Linked DNA regions of Rattus norvegicus. The protein of the gene in region 2 interacts with the protein of the main gene of each other region in a pairwise test. Links are inferred from orthologs where the notes say so. Each region holds a gene or a part of one and is shown on either strand. Other genes may lie near its edges. The genes, in order: Tssk2 and Tsks.

Region 1 (3,671 bases), on a different chromosome or scaffold from region 2:
CCTTTGAAGACTGCCCATCTCCCCAGGCTCAGCAAGGGGGTTTGTCCTCAAAGCCTTCTGGGACCAAACAACACTTTACAGCCTGCTTCTGTGAACTTTGCTGTGAGAACCAAGTATCTAGGGTTCAGGCATAGTACAGACTCTGAGCAGCACTGCCATGAAGAAACCTGCATGGGGCAGAAGGCTCCAAGACATGGGGCTAGTGGTGGGGTGTTCTGAGAAGTGTGTAGGCACCTGGCTTTTCACCTCTGTGGTTTTTGCCAAGGTTTTGGGGACAGAAGACACCAAGGTGGCCTGAGGCTGCTTAAAATTCAATGAGGAGACAGTTGAGATAGAAGTGACACAAGGGCTCCTGCTGTGTGTGTCACTCATGGGCATTAGAACCAGAACTTCAAGGTGGCCTCTATGGTGTATTCTTGTTCCCCTCTGCGCCTATGTCACTTCCTGTTTGATGCTGTCTGTCCCACCTCCCATCTAGAAATGGGCCTTCTTGCTTGCCCTCTGAGCACAGCACTTACACATTCTGGCAACTCACTGAAAGTGTTTGACTTTCATCTGTGGGATGTGAAAATGAGCATGGGACTTCTAAAGGAGCCAGGAAGATGGACAGATGATGCCACCTTGCAAAACAAACATCCATGCACAAAACACAAGACACTCCAACTGCGAATAATGAGCATTGCCACAGCCCTTCATGTGGCCTGGCTCACCTGCTCACAAAACTCCAAGCTTGCTCTTCATGGGCAACGCTAAGGGCTATCAATCCCTGGGCTGTCCAGCACCAAGCCTAACACAGTCCCCTCCTCACTACCAGGCCCATTGGCTTTTCGTAACCCTCTCCCCTCCCCTCGACCCTCAGATGCCTGCTCTGGCCCGAGGCCCTGGGGCTCCACATGCATCCCAAAGTCACCTGGCTTCTCTTCCTAACAGCAACCATCTTAAAAGGGTGTTAGGCTCTATAGGGGCTGCCGATCATTTGCAGACAAAAGCTCCATGACCTTTTTCTTCCCTGACTTACACTTGAACCATTCTCAGCGCTTGTCTGCTTGGGTACCTCGCCACCTTGTACATCTGGTTGAAGCCTCCCTATCTTCCACACCGCACTCTCCCAAGCATGCACCTGCCTACCTGGACCCTCAGTCCATCCTCTTGTACAACCTACCCTCCCACCCCCACACACCTGTTCACCAGGGATGTGGGTCATCTGCCCACTCTGTAGCCCAAAGACCCTTGCCAACTCCAGGCCCCAGACACGGGGCTGCTTTCATCCAGTAGACTGGAACCACCACTGGACTGACTGGACCTGGGCAGCTTCCACTGACTGACACAAACTCATAGGAAGTTTTCTTCAAACCCCAACCAACTGGGTCCAGTCAAGTGAGGACCGACACAGGCCCGACTCCCATGGCCCCACAGTGAAACAGAGACTGAACCTGTATGGCTTCTCTTTGGGCCTCACTGGTGACAACGAAGTCACAGCAAGAAAAAGGGCCAGGGAGGGTTACCACAGGCCTGAATGCCAGCTTCATTCCAGTGGGTGGGGAGGGGGTGCTCCTTCTAGGCCTTCCTGGCTTCCGTCCAGGGGCCCCATTCCCCCAAGCCTAGTCCCCACTCCCAGCAGCCCAGCTTTATGACTTCATTCGCTGGTCACTTGGTGACAATGCTGAGCGTTCCACTCCAGGCCCAGCCCAGCCAGACGCCTCCCCACAGTGGGAATGAGGACAATGCCTGCTGGCCCGTGTGGGGAGGGGATGTAGAGGGCGGCGGCACCGGCCGCTCCTGGCACCATGGACGATGCCGCGGTCCTAAGGAAGAAGGGTTACATCGTGGGAATCAATCTGGGCAAGGGCTCCTATGCAAAAGTCAAATCTGCCTACTCAGAGCGCCTCAAGTTCAATGTGGCAGTCAAGATCATAGACCGCAAGAAAACACCCACTGACTTTGTGGAGAGATTCCTTCCTAGGGAGATGGACATCCTGGCGACTGTCAACCACCGTTCCATCATTAAGACCTATGAGATCTTTGAGACCTCTGATGGACGCATCTACATTGTCATGGAGCTGGGCGTCCAGGGCGACCTCCTCGAGTTCATCAAGTGCCGAGGAGCCCTGCACGAGGATGTGGCACGCAAGATGTTCCGCCAGCTCTCCTCAGCCGTCAAGTACTGCCATGATCTGGATGTCGTCCACCGAGACCTCAAGTGTGAGAACCTTCTGCTTGACAAGGACTTCAACATCAAGCTGTCTGACTTCGGCTTCTCCAAGCGCTGCCTGCGGGACGGGAGCGGGCGCATCGTCCTCAGCAAAACCTTCTGTGGGTCAGCAGCTTATGCGGCCCCCGAGGTGCTGCAGGGCATCCCCTACCAGCCCAAGGTGTATGACATCTGGAGCCTGGGTGTGATCCTCTACATCATGGTCTGTGGCTCCATGCCCTACGATGACTCTGACATCAAAAAGATGCTGCGCATCCAGAAGGAGCACCGAGTGGACTTCCCACGCTCCAAGAATCTAACTGGTGAGTGCAAGGACCTCATCTACCGCATCCTACAGCCAGATGTCAACCGGAGGCTGCACATTGATGAGATCCTCAGCCACTCGTGGCTTCAGCCCCCCAAGCCCAAAGCCATGTCTTCTGCCTCCTTCAAGAGGGAGGGGGAAGGCAAGTATCGAGCTGATTGCAAGTTGGATACTCGACCAGGCTCAAGACCCGAACACCGGCCTGACCACAAACTGGGGAGCAAACCCCAGCACCGGCTGCTGGTAGCACCTGAGAATGAAGACAGGATGGAGGAGAGGCTGGCGGAGACTTCCAGAGCTAAAGACCATCACATCTCTGGAGCTGAGGTGGGGAAAGCAAGTACCTAGTGGCGGAGAGGGCCCTGGGGGATCATGGTGTGCAGTCTGCACCCACATAAGCTAAGTAGGAGGTAGGAGCTGAAGAAGGCACAGGTGCAAGGAACAAGTAAAATCCGTCAATTAAACCACTATTTTGATTACGTTCTATTAGCTTTCTTCCACTTCGTAGCAAAGCCATTAATTACTGACCACCAAATAAACCACAAAGTGTATACAAGCATTGAGAGTGCCCAGTGGGGAGTCTTTTTCTCTAGGACTCATCCAGCGCGGGGATCTCCAGCACAGGGGTTTAGGAACCTGTACACAGGCACAGGCAGACTCAGTGAGGCCTGTGGCAGGGGGACCTCTATCAAGGTCCTTTTGCTAGGCTCACACATGTTGGCTTCTGACTTTCCTCCATCCCCAAGGCCTCTAGCACTGGACAGCTCCATGCCTCTCTCTTATCTTAAGCAATACAAGCCACCCCGCCCCTGTTTTGTTCTTACACAGTGCTCATTGTCCATTCACTTCAGGGGCAATCAAATTCAGACCTTTCCTGTGCAAGTCTCACCCTCACCATCCCCAGGAATGGGGCAGCCCGCCTGGAAACTTGTTGCTATTTTACCCATTCTGTAGACCTGCAATGTAGACCCTTAGCAGCCCTCAATCAAAGTTCCTTAGGCACCATTTCCTGGTTCCACCTCTCCTTAAAGACTCCCTCATACTGGCCAAATGCTGGAGGTGGCCAGCACCCAGATCACACCCATTCTCCCTGTCTCCAGTATCTGCTTTCTCTTACTGGAGGAATCCTTGGTTTAAATCTCAAGCTTCCTGAGC
Region 2 (3,815 bases):
GCGGACTGTGCTTGTTCCCGCTGCGCCCGCTCCCATTGGCCCAGAAAGCCATCCAGACGGCCGCCCAGGCCTCCCAGCAACCTTAGGGCCTCCTGCACCGCCCCCTCCTCCTGATGCCACCGAGCTGCCAGCGAGGACACCTCCCTCCTGCGAGGATCAGAAGGGAAGAAAGGGTTGGGTATAGATTTGACTACGCCCCTGTTGACCTAGCCCCAAATAGATCACCGAATTATTTTTCTTTTCTTTCTTTTTCTTTTTTTTAAAGATTTATTTATTATATGAGTACACAGTCGCTGCCTTCAGACACAGCAGATGAGGGTATCGGATCTCATTACAAATGGTTGTAAGCCACCATGTGGTTGCTGGGATTTGAACTCAGGACCTCTGGAAGAACAGTCAGTGCTCTTAACCGCTGAGCCATCTCTCCAGCACCCCTTTTCTTTCCTTTTTGTTTTGTTTTAAAGACAAGGTCTGTTGCCGGGTGGTGGTGGTGCACACCTTTGATCCTAGAACTTGGGGGGCAGAGGCAGGCAGAGCTCTGTGAGTTTGAGGGCTAGCTTGATCTACAGAGTGAGTTCCAGGACATCCAGGGCTGCACAGAGAAACCCTGTCTCAAAAACAAAAAACAAAAAAAACCCAAAAAACAAAAAACACAGTCTTGTCTATTGTAGTCCAGGATGTGCTGATACTCTCTATGTAGACCAGGCTGGCATTGAACTCTGTCTCTCAGTGCTGCGATTAAGGGATTAAAGGCAAGCACCACTCCCCCGCCTCCCACCATTTTCCTTTTTTTTTTTTCCGGAGGAGCTGGGGACCGAACCCAGGGCCTTCCGCTTGCTAGGCAAGCGCTCTACACTGAGCTAAATCCCCAACCCCCCCCTTTTTTTTGTTTGTTTGTTTTTGTTTTTCATTTTCCTTTTCTTGGTGTATTGGATTAGCCCGGTACCACCTATGCTATCACACAATCCTCATCTAGTGGGCTTCTGTGCCCAATCGCTTAGCCCCCTTAAACCCCTCCCACATCAAGCTTTTCCAATTCTCACCCACTACAACCCGACTAGGATACACTCTGTCCCGCCCACCCAGCCTCGAAGCTCCTCCCAACTCCCGCCCTTTGCTCCACCTGGGTCCTGATCCACCCACCTCCTCCAGTCCCCGCCCACCTCAGCTCCTCTAGGCCGCTGGAGACCTTCTGCAACTCCTGCTCGCTCAGCGAGGGTCCCTCCCCTGCGCGGATTGCCATGCCCCAGCCATTGGAGGGCAGGCCTCGCGGCCGCGGGGGTTCCTCCGGGCTACCAGGAGGACCGGAGCAGCCCTGAATGGGAGTAGTAGGGCCTAGGCCATGCCGGGAGAGGCCAGCCTCTAGTTTTTGCTCCAGCTCCTGCAACTCGGCCTCCTGTCTCCGGGGCGTCTCATCCTGCAGTTGCTGCTGGAGGTATCTTAGCTTCTCCTGGGCAAGGGAGGACAATGAGTCAAGGTGATCGGCAACTTACCACCCGCAGCTAACTGCACTCCAGGGATCCCCGAGACTGCAAAGTAGTGTAGAGAGAGGATAGTTGGGAAGTACACTTGAAGTCTAACTGAACTCCTGCTTGTCTTTAGGAGGGGAGATAACATTTACTCTAAACTCTGCTAGCTGTTTCTACTGCTGCAGGCAACCTACCACTCTCGTCTCCTGTCCTGTCTGCCTCAGTCCCTGCCTCTTAGGGATCGCAACAAGTTTTCTCCAAGTTTTGTTGGAAAGTGAGCTAACAAGTCTTCATTCTAGACCCGGCCTACCCAGTCGTTTCAGGCTACACCCTTGACAAACTAAGCTTCCCCAGGCTCACACCCTGGTCACACCCAGCAAGCCCTATTTGGCTCCTCCCCTGGGCCCTCCCCCTTTTGATATCCAACCCCTACAGCCAGGTCCCAAACCCAGCTCAGTTCACTGGAACATCTGCAGCCTTTACACCCCTGTCCTTGTCCACCATAGCTCCTCCAACCCCCAGCCCGAGACTCCACCCAAATTTCTCACTAGCTTGGGACCCCCCTCCATACCCTCGTACCTCCAACAAGGCAGAGTTCTGCTTCAGGACATTGGTTTTGATTTCAGCGTCTTCCACTGAACGGGTCACCTTGCGGCAGTTCTCCTGGGTCAGAACATCAGGGCGGGGGCCCTACCTTCCCATTCCGGTTCTGCCCCCCACCTTCAGCCTCGTTTTTTGCATAGCATCTGCCCTATGTAGGACTCATCCACTTCCCAACCAAGCTTCCTTCCTAGCCAAGCCTGTACTGCACTACCCCGTTGATCATCCCCCTTCTCCTGTGCTCCTTTTGTTTTAAATTTTAAAATTAAAAAAAAATTTTTTTGAAAATGTCTTATGGGCTGGAGAGATGGCTCAGTGGTTAAGAGCACTGACTGCTCTTCCAGAGGTCCTGAGTTCAATTCCCAGCAACCAGATGGTGGCTTACAACCATCTGGGATCCAGTGGGATCTGATGCCCTCTCCTGGTGTGTCTGAAGACAGCTACAGTGTGCTCACATACATGAAATAAATAAAATCTTAAAAAAAAAAAAAAGAAAAGAAAATGTCTTATGATGGTGGCGGTGGCAGCGGCAGCCATGGCAGCGGATGCCTTTAATCCCAGCACTCGGGAGGCAGACTCAGGTGGATCTCTGAGTTTGAGACCAGCCTGGTCTAGAGAGTTAGTTTCAGGACAGCCAGGGTTACACAGAGAAACCCTGTCTTGAAAAAAAATTCGTATATGTATGGTGTTTTGCCTGTGTATATGTATTTAAGTGTATGTGCAATAATGCGTGCAGTGGCCATGAAAGCCAGAAGAGAGTGACTTTTTTTGGTAGCCATGAGAGGGTCTCATGTACCCCGCTTCCAACTCGTTATATATCTGAAAAGAATCTTGAACTTTCAAGTTCTGAAATCAGACGTGTATTCTACCCAACTCAGGCTTAATGCCACACTACGACTGAACCCGAGGTTTTTTGCATGCTAGGCAAGCATTCTACCAACTGAGCCACATCCCAAGCCCTCTGTGGTCTCTGCTTCTCTCATCCCTTTCTCCCCAACCGGTTCCTTCCACAGCGGCTCACCTTCAATTGACTGCAGTACCCCTCCAACTCTTCTGCCTCCTGCCGCCTTCTTTCCAGATTCTCACTCAGCACAGAGCACTCGCTCTTGACCATGGAAGGGAGGCAGGGTTAAAGTTTATACGGGGAGCAGCGTCTTAGCCTCCTGAGGGTTGAGCATGCGCAATGGAGAAAGGTGGCTACAAGCCAGGAACTTAGTTCTGGAGGAAGAGGCCACAGGCAAGGGTATAGGGATCCTCCAGTAGCCTACCTGCAGTGTCTGAACATGCTGATTAACCCGCGTGGTCTTTTCCTTCAAGCTGGTGATGGAGTCTTTGGCACGTACCAATCCACTGTTGACCCCACTCTGGTGAAAAACGGGAGAGTTCAACACCAAGAAAATTCTAGAGGTAGCAGGCTGTGTTTTCAGTTTGGTTTTGTTCTAGATGGGTTTGTGGCTTTGGGCAAAAGGTGGCATCCTCGAATTTAGTCCCTTGTTTTGTAAAGCCAGAAGTAGACTAATATTCCTCACAGTGCGCTGGGACAAGTAAGAGGGGAAGACAGTTTCAAGAAAATGCCTAGATTTTCCCCGTTGGAGGTGAGGGTATGGCTCAATGGTAAAGCCACTCCTTGGAATCCCCCAGTGAGGGGCTGGGGTGTGACTCAACGACAGAGTACTTGCCTGCATGCACAAGACCGTGGGTTCCAGATGCAAATGTGTACCCACAAAATCCCTCCTCCTTTCCTGT

Evidence for each region.
Region 1: the proteins of Tsks (region 2) and Tssk2 interact in binary tests that used the Homo sapiens proteins (3 or more experiments, as listed by UniProt). The link is inferred for Rattus norvegicus from reciprocal best matches to the Homo sapiens genes TSKS and TSSK2.

Annotation. Positions count from the first base shown.
Region 1 is NC_086029.1:96,590,268-96,593,938, reverse strand, and holds Tssk2 (testis-specific serine/threonine-protein kinase 2), read left to right. Parts: upstream 1-1,719; 5' UTR 1,720-1,787; coding exon 1,788-2,864; 3' UTR 2,865-3,075; downstream 3,076-3,671.
Region 2 is NC_086019.1:104,570,566-104,574,380, reverse strand, and holds part of Tsks (testis-specific serine kinase substrate), read right to left. Parts: intron 3,434-3,815; coding exon 3,338-3,433; intron 3,175-3,337; coding exon 3,091-3,174; intron 2,160-3,090; coding exon 2,049-2,159; intron 1,451-2,048; coding exon 1,164-1,450; intron 148-1,163; coding exon 1-147. UniProt on the Homo sapiens protein: May play a role in testicular physiology, most probably in the process of spermatogenesis or spermatid development.